4 linked regions of the Caenorhabditis elegans genome follow. The protein of the gene in region 1 interacts with the protein of each later gene in a pairwise test. Each region holds a gene or a part of one and is shown on either strand. Other genes may lie near its edges.

Evidence for each region.
Region 2: the proteins of hprt-1 (region 1) and gst-15 interact in a two-hybrid assay, tested with the Caenorhabditis elegans proteins (one large-scale study listed by BioGRID).
Region 3: the proteins of hprt-1 (region 1) and F25D1.5 interact in a two-hybrid assay, tested with the Caenorhabditis elegans proteins (one large-scale study listed by BioGRID).
Region 4: the proteins of hprt-1 (region 1) and smz-1 interact in a two-hybrid assay, tested with the Caenorhabditis elegans proteins (one large-scale study listed by BioGRID).

What each region holds. Positions count from the first base shown.
Region 1 is NC_003279.8:14,654,929-14,662,537, reverse strand, and holds hprt-1 (Hypoxanthine phosphoribosyltransferase), read right to left. Parts: upstream 5,184-7,609; 5' UTR 5,143-5,183; coding exon 5,104-5,142; intron 3,640-5,103; coding exon 3,534-3,639; intron 1,790-3,533; coding exon 1,290-1,789; 3' UTR 1,043-1,289; downstream 1-1,042. Other genes in the region: riok-2 (Serine/threonine-protein kinase RIO2), read right to left, coding at 5,468-5,560.
Region 2 is NC_003280.10:13,610,579-13,615,572, reverse strand, and holds gst-15 (glutathione transferase), read left to right. Parts: upstream 1-2,376; 5' UTR 2,377-2,429; coding exon 2,430-2,574; intron 2,575-3,245; coding exon 3,246-3,742; 3' UTR 3,743-3,803; downstream 3,804-4,994. Other genes in the region: gst-14 (glutathione transferase), read left to right, coding at 229-722; gst-24 (glutathione transferase), read left to right, coding at 4,279-4,417, 4,603-4,994.
Region 3 is NC_003283.11:10,544,711-10,549,020, forward strand, and holds F25D1.5 (DeHydrogenases, Short chain), read right to left. Parts: upstream 2,074-4,310; 5' UTR 2,043-2,073; coding exon 1,773-2,042; intron 1,730-1,772; coding exon 1,541-1,729; intron 1,494-1,540; coding exon 1,119-1,493; 3' UTR 1,033-1,118; downstream 1-1,032. Other genes in the region: degt-1 (Acid-sensing ion channel 1), read left to right, coding at 1-337, 539-630, 777-868, 911-1,032; srd-34 (Serpentine receptor class delta-34), read right to left, coding at 2,888-3,090, 3,140-3,297, 3,344-3,543, 3,596-3,742, 3,789-3,885, 3,933-3,970.
Region 4 is NC_003282.8:12,452,954-12,457,460, forward strand, and holds smz-1 (PDZ domain-containing protein), read left to right. Parts: upstream 1-2,096; 5' UTR 2,097-2,238; coding exon 2,239-2,367; intron 2,368-2,414; coding exon 2,415-2,678; intron 2,679-2,732; coding exon 2,733-3,164; 3' UTR 3,165-3,346; downstream 3,347-4,507. Other genes in the region: Transcription regulator spe-44, read right to left, coding at 1-22, 320-528, 589-685, 747-915, 973-1,128; C25G4.7 (uncharacterized protein), read left to right, coding at 4,007-4,019, 4,067-4,194.

The sequences.
Region 1 (7,609 bases):
TTTTTTTTGGTTCTGAAAAAAACATTTTGTATTGATTTTCTCTTAGATTTCACAAAATATGACCTATTTCTTAAAATTTTTTGGATGAAAAATTAATTTTTTTCCAAAATTTTTTAATACAGATATATTCTATTTATTGCGGGAACACAAAACTCTGAGAATACGTATAGCACAACATATTTGACGCGCAAAATATCTCGTAGCGAAAACTACAGTAACCCTTTAAATGACTACTGTAGAGCGTTTGTGTCGATTTACGGGCTCATTCGGTTCTTCGCATTATTTGGTCATTTTTAGCTGAATTTCAATACTTTATCGATAAATAAATTAATTGAATCCATTTAAGCCCGTAAATCGACACAGTAGTCATTTAAAGAATTACTGTAGTTTTCGCTACGAGATATTTTGCGCATTTAAAGAATTACTGTAGTTTTCGCTACGAGATATTTTGCGCATTTAAAGAATTACTGTAGTTTTCGCTACGAGATATTTTGCGCGTCAAATATGTTGTGCAATACGCATTCTCACAATTTCGTGTTCATGAAATAGTTTTGCTAGGTGGCCGAGAAGTGAAAAACTCGGCCACATGTTTTTTTTCGAATATCGAGAAAGTTCGGCCATCGTTTTTTTTAAAATCAAACAATTTAGATTTTTCGTTTAAAAAAATTAATTTCAAGCTATATTTTTATTTTCCTCGAAATTTTTTTTCTAAATTCTAATTTCTCGTGGATTTTGAATTTTTTCGATTAAAAAACTGAAAAAAAATTAAAATTATCAGAATGTGTAAAAAAATTTTTTAAAGCTATACTGGCAAAACGCGGTATTTTGAAAAAAGATTTTTTAAAAAAATTTCAAAAAAAAAAAAAAGCAAATGAAATTTCTCGACCATCGATTTTTTTTAATCGGAAAAATTTTGATTTTTCCCAAAAAAAATTAATTAAAAGCAATTTTTCTTGCAATTTTTCTCTCTATGGAATTTTAAAAAATCTACGGTTTCTCGTGGTTTTTGCATTTTTTTTTCGATTAAAAAATTGTGAAAAAATTTGGTCATTTCAAATATTTTGTAGGACAAAACCTTGACGGTCATAATACACCGAAAATTAGAAAAAAAAACTACAATTTTGAAGCAATACATGTATATTTTTAAAATAATGTATATTTGTTTTAAAAAAATTAATAACGAATTTAAAGCAGATCACAGTGTAATTAGGAATAGCAGAGCAAAAAAAAAACAATTAGACATTCAAAAATTTCAATTTTTTTTTTCAAAAAAATTGTAAAAATCCAAATTATTCCGATTTATATTTCTCAATTCCAGCAGGGCTCATGACACAAATATGTCCGAGATCTCGGAATTTCTGATTATAATCCAATCCGTAGCCAACAATAAATTTGTCAGGAATCTCAAAAGCCACGAAATCCTCTGGAACATCCACGACACGTTTGACACGTTTCGACAGGAGAAGGGCGGTCCAGGTCTTCTCAACGCCCGTCTCATGTAAAGTTGAGAGAAGTTTTGCAAGAGTTCTTCCGGTATCCGAAATATCATCCACAACGAGCACACTTTTCCCCTTGAGCTCATCCAAATTCGATAGTCCCATTATTTGAATTTGTCCAGTACTCATTTGATCCTCGTAACTCTTTACTCGAATAAAATCGACAGTCATTGGTTCAGGACACGATGAGCGAGCATTTGTGAGCTCTTCGACGAGGGCAGTGAAGAATTTATAGGATCCTTTGAGTACGCAGAGCAGCGCGATTGGTTTGTTTCCGATTTCAGCGTGGATGTCTGAGAAAATTATATGATTTCTGATTTTTTACTAAATCACTGCAACTTTTTCCTCACGAGGGACGAGGAAAAGTGGTTTCTAGGCCATGGCCGAGGGGCCGACAAGTTTCAGCGGCCATTTATCTTGCTTTGTTTTCCGCCTGTTTTCTTTTGTTTTTCACAGCTTTTTCCCGTTTTTTCTTATTAAAACTGATAAATAAATATTTTTTGCAGATGCTAAAACAATTTCCAAGTAAAAAAAATCATGTATTCAGTGGGCAAGCAGCGGTGAAAGTGGGCATTGTAATATGATGGATTACGGGAATACAAAACCTAAACTTTTCCCCAAACATGATACATATGCTGCTTAAATGCTGAGACTACCTGATTTCCATAATGAGACGTCTGAAAAAGTATTGAGATTTTCAAAATTCAACTTTTTGTGCGAAAATCTCGACCTTTTCACCAAAAAAGTTGAATTTTGGAAACCTCAAAACTTTTTCAGCGGTCTCGTTATGAAAATCAGGTAGTCTCAGCATTTAAGCATCATATGTATCATGTTTCAGAAAAAGTTTAGGTTTTGTATTTCCGTAATCCATCATTTTACATTGACCACTTTCACCGCTGCTTGCCCACTGAATACATAATTTTTTTACTTGGAATTTGTTTTAGCATCTGCAAAAAGTATTTATTTATCAGTTTTAATAAGAAAAAACGAAAAAAATCGATGAAAAACGAAAGAAAACAGGCGGAAAACAAAGCAAGATAAATGGCCGCTGAAACTTATCGGCCCCTCGGCCATGGCCTAGAAACCACTTTTCCTCGTCCCTCGTGAGGAAAAAGTTACAGTGTAAATCGAAAAACGAAAATTTTCCGGTATTTCTAATTTTTTCAGATTTTTCTAAAATTAGCTTAAAAGTTTGATGACTAGGTTTTTTTTCTTCAATATAAACAAAATTAGAAAAAAAAAAAATAGAATTTTCTGATCAATTTTCCAGCAAATATAAAAATCGAAAATTTTTAGAAGTTTTTTCAAAAAAAAAAAAAAAATTTTGGCAGTTTTTAGAAGAAAAATTTTTAAAGAAATTAAAGAAATAATATTGAAGCAGAAAGTCTTGTTTCTGAAAATAATTGTTTTTATTCGAAACTTTTCCGTCATCGCATTTCTTCAATTTCTTCAAAAAAAAATGTATCAACGAAAAATTGTCCATTTTCGGATTTTCCGTAAAAAAAACTTCTAAAATAGGAAAATTTTTTTAGTTTCCGAAAAATCTGAACAAAAATCGAAAAATCGAAAAAAAAAATTAATCATAAAATTCGATTTTCTAATCTAATTTTGTTTATATTGTTAAAAAACATGAGAAAAATTAAAAATGTCTTCTAAAAAGAACAATTAGAACACAAAATTTCAAGGTAATTTTAGAAAAATCGAAAAATAATTCGAAATTTCGGAAAATCGAAAAAATTCCGTTGACACTTTTTTAGAGGAAAATTTGAAATTTTTCTGTATTTTTTGAAATCCTTCAATCCAAGCTCCCTTATACTTGAAAATGGAAGAGCTGGAATCCTCTTCCACGGCCCTGTGTGTCGATTTACGCAGCCCTCGTGTACTCTTCGAGGAGGAGAAGACGATTTTACAATTGTCACGTAAATCGACACATGGCCGTGGAAGAGGTTTCCATCTCTTCCATTTTCAAATTTGAGGGAGCTAGAAGTCCGTTGTAGGGCTATTAGAGAGAAATTTTTAAATTTTAACTGTTTTTACCTTTAGCCAGACGACGAACACGATCTCTAACAAGACCTTCCGGAATCACGACACCGGATAAATCACCGTCATAGCAGATTGGAATGTCGAATGCGTCGACTGGGAGCTGCAAAAATTAAATATTAATTTAAAATTTTACAATTTCGCCATAATTTTGCAAGAAACGACGTTTAAAAATAAATGAAATTGCACATTTTTAGCCCAAAAATCAATTAGACTACAAACTACAAATCTTTCTAGCCTCAACCATGTTGAAAATGTTCGAAATTTCACAAAATACTTGAAAAAGTTGAAAATTTTTGACTGAAGATTGCAGATTTTAACTATTTTAGAACAAAAATATGGATAATATTGTTCTTTTTAATTGTTGAAAACTAGTTTTTCTGGGCAAAATTTTGGAAAAAAAAACGTAATTTTTAATGAATTTCTGCTGATATGAGGAGAAACGGTTGCAAAATTGTGAGTTTTTAGCTGAAATGGATAGAAATCGAGAATTTTTTGTTAAAAAAAATGTCAAAAATTAACTGAAAATCACGTTTTCGGTCAATTTTTGGTTCACACTACAAACTACAACTTTTTCTAGCCTCAACTAACTTTGATGAAGCTGAAAACTCTTGTAGTTTGTAGCCTGAGAGCCTCACCAAAAAAACTTAAATTAGCGAAAATTCAAAATTTATGGATATTTAAGCATTTTTCTTGAATTTTTTTTTTGTCTCCAGCTGCTAAATTATAAACTTCCTGCAGTTTTTTTATTTCAGTTAAAATTCAAAAATCTGAATCAAAAAATTGCTGGAAAAGTGAAAAGTTGGTTGAGGCGTCAGATCACAAACTACAATGTTTCCCAGCCTCAACCAACTTTGGTGAGGCTGAACATCATTGTAGTTTGTAGTCTGAGAACCTCACAAAAAACTAAAAAACTGTTTAAATTCAAATTTTATAGAATTTTAAGCCTGTTTCTTGGATTTTTTTTCGTTTCCAGCTGCTAAATGTGAAAATTGCTCTCGAAATCGTGGCAATTTTCATTCGAAATTCAAAAATCTGAATCACAAAAATTGATGGAACCACCGTTTGTTGCGGTGTCACACTACAAACTACAATGTTTCCTAGCCTCAACCAACTTTGGTGAGGCTAAAACTCGTCGTAGTTTGTAGCCTAGGAGCCTCACCAAAAACTAAAAAAAAACCTGTTTAAATTAAAATTTTTTGATTTTTTTTTTGTTTTCAGCTACTAAAGCTTGGAAATTTCATGCACATTTGGCAATTTTCATTCGAAATTTTTTAAAAATCCTGAATCAAAATTGTTTGAAAAAATTTCTGGAAAAGTTGGTTGAGGCGTCAGACCACAAACTACAATGTTTCCTAGCCTCAACCAACTTTGGCGAGGCTAAAACATCGTTGTAGTTTGTAGCCTAGGAGCCTCACCAAAAACTAAAAAAACTGTTTAAATTCAAATTTAATGAAAATTTAAGCACTTTTCTTGAATTTTTTTGTTTCTAGCTGCTAAATGTGGATATTTTTCTCGAAATCGTGAAAATTTTAATTCAAAATTCAAAAATCTGAATCACACAAACCTCAAAATCATCAGGAATGACAGCACGAGTTGGAGCCATTTTCGAAAATGAAGAACTATTTTTCTGAAAAAAAGAAAAGTGTGTGAATGGTTATTTAAAAGAGACAATATTATCTTATCAATCAAAAAAAAAAAGAAGATTGATCAGATTATCTTATCAGTTGAAATAGACGGCGCGACGATGAAAGTTACGAACGTGTCAACGATAAATGTTGCATTTTAATCGAAAAAAAACGCATCATTTCGTTTATATTGAAGGGGAGAAGTTAACAGAACAAAAAACATATAACAATGGTAATAATAACAGGTGAAAAAGAATAGAAAAAACGAATTTTCCGGGAAAAACGAGAACAATTATTAAATCATCAAATCCATCCAGCGTACTCGGCAATCACATCTTTATTGTCTTTTCGGTTACGGCCCACTGCGCTTTGCTTTCCTTTGACCTTCAGTCGAATCTGGAATTTTTGGATAAATTTTAGAAATTTTTGTGGTATATTGATTTATACTGAAGGTTGGAAGGATTTCAGAATTTTTTTAAAAGAGTTTTACGAGTTTGGAAGGAAAATATTAATAAATTACAGTAAAGTAGAAATTAAATACTTTTTTATTAATTTTTGAGATTTTTGTGAATTTTTTTTTTTGTAAAAAAACGTATTTTCCAAAAAATTTAAGGATTTCACAGTAAAAAAAACTAATTTTTAATGTAATGATCAGTCGAAAATTTCAAGAAATTCCAAAAAAAAAAGATAATTGAAAATTTTTGCAAAGTTTCACACAGAAAATTTTAAAAAAACGAATTTCAGACAAAAACTGGCCACGCCCACAAAATGGACGATACCGAAAGAATTCCTATATAATTTTTTGCAATGTTTCAGATACAGAAATTTCGAGAAAAAATATTGTCAGACAAAAACTGACTCCGCCCATAAAATTGTCGGTTTTCTAAAAATTTGAAATTAAATATATGATGACTTATTCCAAATTTTAAGTACGTTTCTATGAACAATATTTCAAAATCAGCAAACTAAATTCTTTTTAAAGCAACATTTTTTTAGAATGACAATGAAACACAAAATTCAAAAAAAAAAGCGAATTTAGGACAAAACCTAGCCATGCCCACCACAAAATGGATGCTCAAACGTGCAATTTTCAAAAAAATATAAAATAATTACTATGATGCCGCGTAAGTGATTATTTTTCAGAATTTTTTCAGAATTCGCTTTAAAAAAAAAGGAATTTTAGACGAAAACTGGCTCCGCCCACAAAATGGTCGGTTTTCTAAAAATTTTAAATTAAATTTTTTTCTATGAACAATATTTCAAAATCAGCAAAACTAAATTTTTTTTAAAGCAACATTTTTTTAGAATGACAATGAAACACAAAATTCAAAAAAAAAAGTGAATTTCGGACAAAAACTGGCCACGTCCACAAAATGGATGCTCAAATGTGCAAAAATTCAAAATTGCACATTTGAGCAAAAGTTTGAACAACTCCGCCCATTCTGAAATTTCGAAAAAAATTTTCACAACAAAAACAGTCTTCGCTTATAAAATGGCACTTTTGGTACAAAAATGACCAGATTTATACCGTTTATACCGTTTATTATTTTTTGAGTTTTTTTGAGAAAAAAAGTTTTTTGTTTTTTTTTAAAGTTTTTAATGAAATTTTTAATCGAAATTTTCAAAAAATTCAAAAAAAATTTGATAATTGAAAATTTTTGCAAAGTTTAACACAAAAAATAAAAATATATATTTTCAGACAAAAACAGGCTCCGCCCATAAAATGGATAAAATTTCCACGATTCTACGTGGCTGAACATTTTTTTGTTGCAATGTTTCAGGTACAAAAATTTCGAGAAAAAAAATTTGAGGCCCCACGAAAAGGGGATCTGCGAAAAGGGGAGCTGGCACTGTGCCAAACGCACAAAACGCTTTTTTATTCTCATTCAACGCACGACTTTTTTTTGTATTTTACGCTAAACAACGCGCGCGATGCGTAATAACGGAGTGTGGTTATAACAAAGTCGTGCGTTGAATGAGAATAAAAAAAGCGTTTTGTGCGTTTGGCACAGTCACTGCAACTTTTTCCTCACGAGGGACGAGGAAAAGTGGTTTCTAGGCCATGGCCGAGGGGCCGACAAGTTTCAGCGGCCATTTATCTTGCTTTGTTTTCCGCCTGTTTTCTTTTGTTTTTCAAAGCTTTTTCCCGTTTTTTCTTATTTAAGCTGATAAATAAATACTTTTTGCAGATGTTAAAACAATTTCCAAGTAAAAAAATTATGTATTCAGTGGGCAAGCAGCGGTGAAAGTGGGCATTGTAATATGATGGATTACGGGAATACAAAACCTAAACTTTTTCTGAAAAATGATACATATGATGCTTAGATGCTGAAATTACCTGACTTTCATAACGAGACCGCTAAAAAAGTTTTGAGGTTTTCAAAATTCAACTTTTTGTGCGAAAATCTCGACTTTTTCACCAAAAAAGTTGAATTTTGAAAACCT
Region 2 (4,994 bases), on another chromosome or scaffold:
AACCACAATTTGCCGAAAAAATGTAGAATCGACAATGTGCCGGTTTGCCGATTTGCCCGAAATTTTCAAATTCGCCGGAAATTTTCGATTCCGAAAATTTGCCGATTTGTCGGAAATTTGAAATTCCGGCATTTTGTCTATTTGCCGGAAATTTTAAATTCCGACAATTTGCCGGTTTGCCGACTTGCCGGAATATGTCGCCCACCCCTGCTATATATCGAATTCCAGAAACCCCAATGGGACAATTGCCTGTCCTCACCGTCGATGACTTCGAAATCCCACAATCTGCTGCCATAAATCGCTACCTTGCTAGAAAATTCGGGTTCGCTGGAAAAACTCCAGAGGAAGAAGCTTGGGTAGACGCCGTCGTCGATCAATTCAAAGATTTCTTTGCGGAATTCAGAAAACTAGTCATTGCAAAACGAGTCGGAAAATCTGCTGAAGAACTGGAAAAGTTAACGGCTGAAGTTATAAAACCTGCTATGGATGTGTACTTCAAAGTTCTCAATGGCCTACTGGAAAAGAGCAAGTCAGGATATCTGATCGGAGATTCAATCACCTTCGCGGATCTTTATATCGCTGACAACATTCAAACACTGAAAAAATATGGGCTCCTAGAAGCTTCTGGAGAGCAACCAAAACTAGCAGCTCATCTCGAAAAAGTGTATTCCCACCCCAATCTGAAGAGCTATATCGCAAGTCGTCCAGTAACGGAGATCTAATTTTTAATCTTACTAACATGTTTTCCATATTCAAAAACAAAATAAAGAAGTTTCCTTTGACAACCAGAAACTTCATTAATGTTGACTGCCGCCGAAATGTCCTTGTCAATACTCTCTCACGTGGGGGGGGGGGGGGGGGGTAAACAAGAAAATGTGATGTTTGGTGAACAGAAAGGGTAGGGGAGAATAACAAAATAAAAACGAAGGAGGTTTTCTAAAGAATGATTGTTCTGGATTTTTTTTTGTTGGTTTTTTACAATTCATTTTTATTTTTATACTTATGCCAAGTTGAATTAAAGATGGAGCAGAGTTTCTGAAGTTTGCATATATTAATTACCTATTTTCAACAAATTTAGACGGCATTTTATTTTTGCCCAATTTTTTTCAGCCATCTAAGGACTGTCCTTTTTTTGGGCAAAAAAAATTTCTCTGAAACCGTTCGAAACTACTGGAAATTGAAAAAGGGCAATTTTTTAGTGTTTGCAGATCAATTTTGAGTCCTCTATCTATAAAATTGACCATTTTAGAGGAGTTTCAAAATTGTGATTTTTTGCCATAAATTGCCCATTTTTGCCACGTTATAGTTTTTGATGGGTTAAACATAGATTTTCTGAATTCAGCATACACGAATTACCCGTTTTCAACAAATTTAGCCAAAAATTTTTTTGCCCAATTTTTTTAAAGCCATCTAATGACTGTCCTTTTTTTTGGGCAAAAAAAAAGATTTTTCTTAAAACGTTTGGAACCACTGGAAATTGAAAAAGGGCAATTTTTTAGTGTTTGTAGATCAATTTTGAGTTCTCTAACTAAATTCAAAATGAACCATTTTAGAGGAGTTTTAAAATTTGTGATTTTTTACAATAAATTGCCCAAACAATATGTTTTTAAAAAAATTTTTAATGATTTTTTTTTTCAATTTTTCAAAAATCAAAGAAATGCCCAAATTATATTTGAATTCTCGCGCAAATGAGTGACGTCATTTTTGGCTAAATTTATGCGTTTTTTTTTAAAATTTTCTTCTATATTTGATTTAAAACACAAATTCGGCAATTGTTTTTCAAATTGAAAACTTTTTTCCGTAACATGGAAGAAATTGGTCTAAAAAACGGAAATTTAATATTTCTTTATATTTTTTTTGTTTTAGAAAATTGAATGTTTGAAAAATTGACAAACGGCGATTTAAATCAAATGTAGAAGACATATCAAGAAACCCCTCCAAAATTAGCCAGAAAAAGCGAAAATGCATAGAATGACGTCACTCATTCGCGCGGGAATTCAAATTTAATTCGGACGTTTTTTTTTTCAAATGGAAAAAAATTATTAAAAATTTAGAAAATTTTTAAAATTTTTTGACAGTTATATTTGGTTATTACGACCTATTTTCTGTGACTTAAACCCAAAAAAAATTTGAAAAAGCTCTTCTTCTCTTTTCAAAGTGGGGTTTTTTTCGAAACGTGTCCTGCAAAAAAATGTAAATTTCCAAAAAATCGTTTTTATTTCTCTTATTTTTCTTTTATTTTGAAATTTTAAATTTTGTGCTCTTTTTTATCACAATGCTCAAAGACCACCGATTTCCAATTCCCATATTATATTTTTGCTTAGAGACGTAAGCCTCAAATAAATAGACTTAGACTGTTAGAGACCTCGCTTTTTCCACTCAATTTTGTCGATTTTCGAATCCACCTTTTTCAATCTTCCAGAAATAAAATGCCACAATACAAGCTAACATATTTTGATCTACGTGGATGGGCTGAGCCGGCTCGACAGCTTTTCCATCTCTCGCATACTCCATACGATGATATTCGGATTCCAATGGCCGATACTGAAGGGAAATGGGAGAAAATGAGAGACAGTAAGTTCTTAAAGTGAAATGTGTTGCTTGTAGTTTGTAGTTTGTAGTTTGTAGTTACTGATGCCACACTTAATTTGAAAAAGTTTGAACTAAAAAACATTAAATTTCTTGGCTTTCGGGGAAAAATCTTTTTGTAGTTTGTAGTTTGTAGTTCGTAGTTTGTAGTCTGTAGTTTGTAGTTTTTAATTTGTAGTTTGTAGTTTGTAGGTGCTAGTTTGTAGTTTGTAAAAGGTTTTTTGGTACGAAAGTATTTTGAAAAATTAATTTTTGTCAAAAAAATAGTTTGTTACTTGTAGTCCGTAATTCGTATTATGTAGAATATAGGTTGTAGTTTGTAGTCTGCAGATTGTAGTTTGTAGTTTGTATATTGTAGTTTGTAGTTTGTAGCTTGTAGAAAGGATTAGATATTTCTGTTTTTTTTTCGTATAAATAGAAAGTCACTACATCCAGCTTTAGGGTTTCATAAGATCTTCAGGCGTACGCGCCTACTTTTTGCCTGCCTGCCTACGTGCTCTCCATTGTGACTTCTTGTTTAGCGCAGATTTCAAATATTTGTGTTAAGTATAAAATGTTCGATTACAAACTGAGAGTATGAACACACGATGGCAGACGTAGGCATGTAGGCAAGCGTGCCTACAAAGAAGACCTGCCATAATTAATTCAACTTCCAGAAACCCCATTTGGTCAGCTCCCAGTACTCAACGTTGATGGCTTCGACATCCCCCAATCTGCTGCAATTTGTCGATACCTTGCCAAGAAATTTGGTTATGCCGGAAAAACTCCAGAAGAAGAAGCGTGGGCGGACGCCGTTGTCGACCAATTCAAAGACTTCTCCGTTGCTTTTAAAACACTCCTTTTTGCCACAAGGGCCGGGAAACCAGAAGAAGAAATCCTCAAAATCCGCTACGAGATTTTCAATCCAGCTCGAGATGTCTACTTTATTCTTCTCAATCGAATTCTCAAAAAGAGCAAGTCAGGTTATTTAGTTGGTGATGGGCTCACATGGGCTGATCTAGTTATAGCTGATAATTTGCACAGTCTGGAGAAGCTTCGAGCCATCGATGATGATGATGAAGGACATCAGAATTTGAAAAAGTATAAGGAGAAAATCTATGGAACCCCAGATTTGGAGGATCATATTGCGACGAGAATGGATACAGAAGTCTAAATTTTGAATCGCGTTGAATTTTTAAAAACTGTGATAAAAGATAATAAACATATTGTAGTATTTTATGCGGATATTTTTTTACCGAAATACTTTTTTTTGAAATAATAGTGCGAGAAGTGCAACAGGGCTCCATATGATTTTTCAGTACTTTTGAATTTTTGAAAAAAACAGCTTTTGATGTATTTTCTGAACTTTTTAAAATAATCTTCCGTACAAGTTAGCAAATTTTATTTAATATTTTTTGGTATATTTTATCATGCTAAACAGTTTTATAAAAGAAAAATGAAGCACTTCATATGATTTTTCAGTACTTTTGAATTTTTGAAAAAAAAACAGCTTTTGATGCATTTTCTGAATTTTTCAAAAATTTTTCCAATTTTCTGACTTTTTGTTTTGTGACCAGTGTTTCTTCGCAAAAACACAAACCACTCTTCTATTTCTCTATTTCTCTCACTCTCCCTCCCCTCAATTTCGGAGATTTTCGAAACGACTTTGTGTATATAAAGTACTACTCAATCATCTCCCATCAACAAACAATGCCACAATACAAGCTCTACTATTTCAACCTTCGTGGATGGGCTGAGCCGGCTCGGCAGCTCTTCAAGCTGGCTCACGTCGAGTTTGAGGATGTTCGTATTGAGAATGGAACTCCAGAGTGGGGAGCGTTGAAGCCAAGTGAGTTTTTGAAACATTTTTAGTGGTATTTGTATAACTGTCACGGATTTTGAGAATTTTTTAAAAATCAGATACGGTGGTCCACTCTAAGCCTAAGCCTATGCCTCGGCCTATGACTATACCTAAGCCTAAGCGAAAGCCTAAACCTAAGCCTAAGTCTGAATCCCAACCCAGGAATCTTCCAGAAACCCCATTTGGTCAGCTCCCATTCCTCTCAGTCGATGGCTTCGAAATCCCCCAATCCGCTGCAATTCTCCGCTACCTTGCCAAAAAATTCGGCTACGCTGGAAAAACATCAGAGGAAGAAGCGTGGGTGGATGCAATCGTAGATCAATTCAAAGACTTCGTCACCCCACTACGCCAACTCATCATGGCTCAAAGATCCGGAAATGCGGAGGAAATCGAGCGAATCCAAAAGGAGGTCTTCGCGCCGGCCCGGGATACATTCTTCAAAATTCTTAATGGAATTCTTGAGAAGAGCAAGTCAGGATTCCTAGTCGGAGATGGTGTAACTTGGGCTGATCTGGTGATAGCTGATATTTTGACAACTATGGAGATGCTGGGAGTGTTTGATAAG
Region 3 (4,310 bases), on another chromosome or scaffold:
GAAGAAAGTGTTGGCTAAACTGCAAATATTAAAAACAAGAGTTCGAATGAGTGAATGGAAAGATTTTAAAATTGATTTAAAAGAATTTGAATCATCGTATCGAGAAATAGCAAAAGACCATGTGGAAATTGAAGAAATGCTAAAATTAAGAAAAACTATGGTTACGGATATTCCAGCATTGGCGAATGAATTATCAGAAACCTTTTTGGCAGCAACAGAAAGTAGAAGAAAGTTTGCAGTATTGACAGGAATTGCTGCAGATGAAAGTTTCAGTGATAAATTTTCAAATTTCTCGAAATGTTTGGATGAACTTCACGAAAAAGCGCCAAATTTAAAGGCAAGAATAATTACTGACTTTGAAATATTCAAAATACCTAAAAATTACATTTATTTGTTTGTTTGTTTATTCGAAATTTGATAAATAGTAACAAAATGTAATACATAGAAGATCAACGGGGAAAATCGAATAATACATAAAATAAGAAAATATTTCAAAGTTTAAAAATCAAGATCTGATTTTAATTTCTATATTTTAAAGAAAACTCGATTCATCCGTGGCGAATGGCTTTCAAGACTTCGAAACCAAGTTTTGATGGCCCAGTCATATTCTCCAACTCCTCAATATGATGTGTAAGTCTTTTAAGCGTAATCTGAGTTGTGAGTAGGGTGAGCTCAGTGATGGCAAACGACGCCGCCGTGACGTCTTGTTCTAATTGAGTGTATGCGTGCAAATAAACATTAAACTTGGTACTTTCAACGGAACAAACTTTTTTCAGAGTAAATCTTCTTCACATCAAGTTCTATTTTGCACACTTTAAACAAGAGACTATTCTTCAAGAAAGATCCTACAACTTATTTTTACTTCTTGGTGAGTTTTACTCGATGTGCTTGTAACTTTGAAAGTTTTCAGCCGAAATTGGAGGAACCATTGGATTATATGTTGGAGCAACACTTCTAACTGCAGCAGAAACTCTTGTTTTTCTTTGTGAACGAAAGAAAAGTAATATATTCCTAAAACCACAATTTATATAAAAGTATTCAATGTATTTTATTGTGTATTTTACGACTATTACATTAGATAACAATGGTTAACAAAATCTGAAAAAAAAAGTTATAGTTTACTGACTAAGAACGGACATAAGATCATGTGTTTGCATTCCCATAACAAGAGTTGATCCTCCATCAGCAACAATCGATTGTCCAATAATGTAAGATGAGAGGTTTCTATCAGCCAGGAATACAATGATATTGGCAATTTCTTCTGGCTTTCCACAATGCCCAACAGGAATGCATTCTTTCCGTGAGCCAATAAAACTGTAAAGCTTGTCAGATGCAGTTTCTGGTAAACCCATCGCTCCCATGAAACCAGTGGCAACTGCTCCAGGGCTGACAGAATTTACGCGGACACCATGTTGAATAAGATCGATTGCAGTGCATCTGGTGTATTGGTCAAGCGCAGCTTTTGCGCAAGCATAATATGGATATCCAGAGTGCTGAAAATTAAAACAAAAGTTCTGAAATCCTCTCTCCCGAAGCTTACTGCTTGTGGGCCAGCAACGATACTGGAAACATTTACAATCTCTCCTTTTGTCTTTATCAAATGTTCCTTTGTTTTCTGAGTCATTTCGATCACAGCTTGGAAGTTTAACTTGAATGTTTTCTGATACAACTCCACTGGTTGATCCGTATTAGCTGTTCCGTCAGCTAAATTGGCACCAGCATTATTAACCTAAAACAATTGAGTATATTTCATTTTCTATCTATGTACATACCAAGATATCAATTTTTCCGAATTTAGCAAGAGTCGTGTTGATGATATCATCTTGTCCTGATGCTTCGGTAACATCAGCAACCACGGCATTAATCTTCTCAGCTGGAACTCCTGCTTTCAATATTTGCTGTTTGGTTTCTTCTAGGCGATCTTCATTTCTTCCAGTAATTGTAACTTGAGCTCCTTCCTTTGCAAAAATCACAGCAGCCGATCTTCCGATTCCATTAGAAGAACCAGTTATAATGACAGACTTTCCAGAAAAGCGAGCCATTATTTTGAGATTACAAAAATAAAATGTCAATCAGATGAATGTGATGTTTAAATGCAGTTTAATGTTTTCTTTTTATACTCATTGCAGTTAAAATTATTTCATGGTTGAATGGAAGTTTGTAGTTTCCGTGACTAAAATATGAAATATCTGTTTACGTAGAGAGTATTTTCAAAGTTACTTCCCGAAGAGACCATAGACAGTGTAACAATTTTTGTGACTGTTAATTCCTCTGCGTCTCTTTGAATTGTGTCTATTTTTGTGCAAGCACAGTTGAGGGAAGATCAATTGATCAAGTTTTCAATATGAAAACACAACTATGATTTCAGGAATTTTAAAATTTTATTTGCTTAAAAAAAAAATAATTTCCGTGTCCAATAGTCTTGCACCCATCTCTCCATCTTTAGCTGCTTATTTTTCGGTTGTTTTTTTAATTTTGTCAGACATTCGCCAACTAGCAAAATATAAACAATAAGCTTTTTCTTAGGGCTTTAATAACACATTTCTAGTATCGTTAAAACGTAGTGCGACACTAGACGTCAAAATGAATTAATTTGGTGAGGAAATACGGTGAATAGTCTCTCTAGATCCAAAAACTTGTTTAACAATAATTGTTTGAGAGCTTTGGCACTTTATTTTAAAGTGTAATGTTGAACTGTAAATATTTTTTCATCGTTATTTTTATTTGCAGATCTTCGAACAATGTTTTTCATTTGTCGGTATTTTTTATTACTGTTATAAAAGTGCTTGTGTAATATCTTTGAACAATGTTATTTTATTCAATTGAGCAAAGTTCCGATTACTACTCCGATTAGTCCACCACTATCATTACCAATTATTCAAAATGCTCAAAAAATGGAAACAGCCGAAATATTGTTACGTCTAACAATTGCAGGTGAAACTTTTTTGCCACAAAACGTATCCTTGAAAAACGCAATAAAGGCTTTTTGGTACGGTGTGATGGTGACAATAACAATGAACGCATCAATAGCTGTTGGAAGAGAAAGCATCATATATAGAACTTTTTCAAAATTTGAGAGAAACGGCAAGTCTGAAAATTGTCACATATTATTTTACTGTAAAAACGGACAGGAGCCTACCATAATTCTCAAGTATTAAGTGAGCTATGTATATAGGAATCACACAAACTGCAGGGACAAGTGTCTGAATCGTCAAAGCAAGATCAAACTTCTTGGCTTGAGCAGCAGTTTTATCAGTAAATAAATGTTTTAAACTGTTGAGTTTAATTTGTATTAGTCTGGAAACACATTGGTAAGTATTTCTTCGAAACTCAAATTTATTACCTAATAAACACAATACTCATGATTGGTGGGACGAAAATGCTTATCATATTCAAATTTGTTGCTAACCAGCTCCAAAAATGTTTTTGATATCCAGTGATATCCGCATAGTACCGGAAATCATATTGTGTTGAATGAAACTTCCTGGTCTCTGAAGCAACCTCAAGAGATTCGTCTGGTTCGTACGTTATCACATAGATCACCTAGAAACATTCATATTTCCATTCTAGATCAATCACGAAAAGCAAAACTCACCCCCACAATTAAAGATAGAAGGTAAGAGCTTAAAAGAATCATTCTGATTTGATTTTTAGTTATGTTTTTCATATTAATATTTGTTACTTTTGTATATTTGTAAAACAATGTAGCAGGAATTGCAAAGGACGAGGCATCAAAGACTAACTGAATTTTGAATATTTGTAAAAAATAACAATTACAGGACACTTACCTGGAAAAAATCAAAACTGAAAAAGCAAGCATTTTTATGAGTGTGTCTACAAAACCCGCTAAAAAGATATGCTGACGATTCTGGATTGTTCACAGGTCTGAAGGAACAGTGTTAGCTAAAAATTAATATTATCGTACAACTAACCTGACTTGTGTGAAGACAACTATTATGCACATGAAAAACTGTAAAGTTGAAGAATTGACAAGAAAGACACGAAAATCTTTGAATACTACGGGCGTTTTAAAAACAACTAAAAGCACGACGGAAGTTTGACTGAACATGGTAAAACCAAAATAAACCCAAAAATAAATTGGAAATATGACAGTGTCGTAAAAGGTCTGAAATTAAAGTAACTGGCAATTACTTAAATGATAATCACAGATATTTTTCATATATGACAGGCAATGAAAGATTGGCATTTTAGTATATTTTTAAAAGTTTATTTTAAAAAGCAATCTTCCAATTGATTTTTCCTCATAAATACCTAACTAGGAGACTCACCATTGGTGGAAAAAGAAAAAT
Region 4 (4,507 bases), on another chromosome or scaffold:
CGTCCACGAGCTTTTTTGGCGCCTGAAAAATGATATGTTTCCAGAATACTGGTAGTTATACAAAAGGAGCTAGTTTTAGAATGTTCTAGCAATATAGAATAATGTTTCCTTTATCTGAAAAAACTTATATTTAAGTTGGAATAGTTGAAAAGATGCTCACAAATCTCAAACTTTGAGACAATATTTGAGCACTTTTCCGATTGTTCCAACTAAAATATAAGTTATTTTTAGACATAACAAATATTATTCCTAAATTTTAATGAAAAATATTGAGAGAACATGTCAAAACTAGATCCTTTTGTAGAATTATCGGTCGTACTCTTTCTATTATCATCATTATCCGCCTCTTTTCCAGCCATCTCATTTTCGATCTCATATTTAAGTTGTCCGGCTTCAGATGTTCTCTTGGACTTCCGAGCTTGAAGCACCTCTTCAGATGGAGCATTCACATAATTTCTGCTTTGACACTTTCCACTGCATCGATTCATATGCTCGTAGAAGTCGATGGTCATTGCTTCCATGTGAGTTCTAGAATATAAAGTTTTGAGAAACAGAAGTATTTTAAGGGATTATTGTCTTGATGCTCACCTCAACGAAGATCTTCCAACACGGATGCTCGCCTTCCAATCTTTCTGACGCTCTTTGTCGCCACGGATTGTGAACTGCTTCGGAGAAAGAAGATCGTCTGAAAATAATTATATTATGAGACCCATTTTAAATTATCTGAAATAAATAAAATAACGAACTTCCCACTTCAATACACGGCTGATGAATCCCAGGGCACATGAACAGGTTGAGATGCATCTTTCCATTCACGACACCACAGGAAACTGGCACAGTCGGTGACGCATCTCCTTCGGGAATTGTGATCTGCAGTGGTGTTATAGGGCGCGGAAAATCGTCGTTTGCCGGATGCTGTAAAAATATGAATTATTAAAGCGATGTAATTATGAAAAAGTAGCTGAAACTCACTCCATACAAAATTTGATAAACATTCCTTTGACTCTCTTGGAATGGAGTCATCGTGGAATGATGATGATCAGATCCTTCGGCTTGAAATCCATCACATGATCCAGAAATCGGATGAGACGGCAACACGGAAGCAGCGCTCACGTCTCCACCGAACATTTTGACGTTGCTTTGCAATCCGAATAAAACCGTGAGTCGGGCGGGCCGTTGCAAAGTTCGCCACGTTTCACGTTAACACGTAAAGATTTCCGCGTCATTCTTTTTTTCATCTTTTTGGTACCACTTCCGATAAGCTGAAATTTCTTATTATTTTCGTTGGCAGATAAATAATGAATTTTTTGTTTTAAGAATATTTATTCAAGAGAAATGGTTTCAAAACGGGAAGAATCCAACTTTTCAGAGAGTTTTCTTTAATTTTTTACAACAAAAACACAATTTTCACACTAAACAACAGTTATTTAAATTAAAAATCACAAGTTGAACACTTTAAACGCGAAAAATAGTGAAAAAGTTCATAAAAAAGCAAAAGTGTGAAAATAATTGCAGAACAGAATTTTCTACAGTAACCTTAAAGGCGCACATACGAAATCGCGCGGCGCGTGGCGACACCATTTTACGATATTGGTCCTCCCTTGAACCTTCTGAAATCAGAAAGTTTTACAGTAATTGTAACATCACAAGATAGGAAAAAATGAAGAAAATAAAAAATAAAAAAGTCAAGAATTTTAGGATTGCAATTCAAAGGTTTTTACCGATCTTTTTAAAAAATAATGAGAATTTTGTTACTAACTATGATCTTTCATTTGATAGTATTAGTCATTAAAAAAAAACACACAGATCACCTTAAGTTTAAGAATACAATGAAAAATTAAGCAAAAAAATTCGTTGAAAACATTTTTTAATGCTCGTAAAATTGCTCCAAGGTTGATTTTGCCTTTTACATTTAATGATTTCAAATTTTGTAGAGGTCAATGTTTTTATGAGAGACTCGTAGGGACGGATTTTTTTTATTTGAAAGTTCAGATAGTTGAAAATATTTTTTTATATTTTTTTTTGTTAGAAACAAAAAATAATATTTTTACTTTAAAATAGAGTTTTTTAGACGAAAAAGTGATTACGTGACATGACCTTTGGGCCTTGTTTTTTATGGCCTAATTAATTCAGCATAAAAGGTCCAGATTTCGTCAGTTTTGTTCATATTTCGTCCGAAATCTTGAATCAATCGTCTTTTGAATCGCCAAAGCAGCCAAGAAGCAAAGGAGCAGAAGCATGGGTTCCGAGAAGATGATCGAGATCTGTATCGATATGGAAGAAGGAGAACCACTTGGTGCAACTCCGAATGACAAGCTTGTCATCACTAAAATCCAGGCTGGAACTATTTCCGAAGGAAAGTTGAGAGTAAGTTCTACAAAAGTTTAACCATTATTCTATGAAAAGTTTTATAGATTGGTGACCAAGTCAAAAAAGTCAACGGGCAAAACTGCAAAGATTGCAATGACTTTTTCCGTGCACTTCGCTTTGCAGCTCCATGTGCAAAAATTATGGTGAACCGCGATGAGAAGAAGGCCGAAGAGTTGGAGGCTCGTGTTCATATTCCTGAAGATCGTGCAAAGATCATTCAACGCCGTGAAGGATACGTCTATGAGTTGGCAACTCTTGTTTGGGTTCAAAATGGACCAAAACTTGGTTTGGGAATCAAGCATTTCCAGGTAAGAAATCAATCAAATCAAATAAATTCTAGGAAATTCATATATCTATTTCAGAATCGTGTGCTTGTCTCCCGTGTTGATCCTGGATCACTCGCCGAAAAGTGTCTCGTTCTTGGAGATCACTTGTGTGATGTTGATGGTATTCCAGTCAGTGACAAGGATGTTGCCAGAGACCTTCTCGTCAAGAACATTCAAGAAAAGGGAAAAGTCACTTTCGTCGTCGAGCGTCCCGATTCGATTGATGCCAAGCAATGGGCAAAGCAGGCATTGGCAACCAATCTTATGCAGCCACCATCTGTGCAAATGAACGAGGATGTGAAGGGCATTGCGTCTCAATACCGTCAAGCTCTTCCAGGATTGAAGCCTCCAGCAAAGAGTGCTATGTCTACTGGTCCAAGCGCTCGTCGCGTTTCAATTGTCGAGCAAACTCAAACACATGAAATCGGGCATGATCATGAGGGAAAAGCTCTTCGCAAGGTCAAGTGATGTGCCAGCAAGATGCCAGAAATCGCAACGTCTAGCTCGAATAAAAATTTTGTTTGAATCGCTTCTGCTGATTTATTTTGTTTTATATGTTCGAATACAGATAGTTTTTTGGGTATGTGAAACGCCCACAAAATGGCTCCTTTTAGGCAGGAGTGGTCAAAATACTACCGTATTGCAGACGATTTTTGTTTGAAAGTTGTTTGAATTTCTGAAAAAGGCAGAATGTGGTTACAGCAAGTCTCTATTAATATCAGCTCGTTTACTCCACGTGTTCCTCGTTTACCAAAAGCCCTGACCATGTTTTAGTGGCCCAGAAGAAAGTCTAGTTCTGGCTTACCGTAGCCTTAACAAGAGTTGAAAAGCCATAACTTTTGATGGCATAGGAAGTACCCACAACACTGAGCCTCTCGCAAACAACTTGCTTTGCTCCACCTTCAACGCTTTCATTTTGAGAAGCTTTTGATTGCAAAATAAATGGTAATAAATTGTTTTTTTTTGACATTTTTTTGTTGAAAAAACAATTTATATTAACTTCTTGAACCCATAATAAAATCAGCAATGTTAAAGGCCTTCCTATGCCTAGTTTCTGCATTTCTGCGCCAAATTTGGTGTCTGTGTCTTGACAGATAAATACATGGTGCATCGTGCAAAGATTCACCTACTGGCAGGTAACATGCCATTGCAACTAATCTAAATTATCTTATTAACAAACTTTCATTCAACTTTTGAATAAAAAAACGTGATGATCTCACGTTTTCAAAAAACATTCTAGTGCTTATCGTGATTTTCTCGATTATTCCTAGCTATTTACAATATTTCTTCCAACTTTCGTGCCTCAAATCATGAGCAAACCTGGTTAGTTTTGAACGCTTTTTAATGAAATTTTTGAAACTTTTTTTCAGAAAGTGTTCAAGAATCCCTTGATACAATCACATTTATTCACTCTTTTCAAATTACGACCACCAAGGTTGAGCATATGAAGCCGAAACGTTTTACCACGGTCCATCAGTACTCGCTGATTAATTGGTAGGTGATCTCACAGTTCTAGGGGATAGAGAAAAGGGGAGATGGAGATATGTGGGAACTGAAATTTAGTTTCACTCCCCCAGTCTCCCCAAGTGCCTACCTCATGTCTAACGTCTATTCACTTTGTCAGCAAAGAAGCAGTAAAAATTCATTTCGATTCCAGGGATATCGAAATATCGGTATCCCAAATACTTCAAGAACATCCCCAAAACCCTGAAGAACCGGTCGTCGAGAAGGTTTTTCGAATCAGTCTTTATCCAGCCGGACAACATCCTCTTCCTGTGCAGAAAGTGGAGTTCAAGTTAAGATTGGTTGAC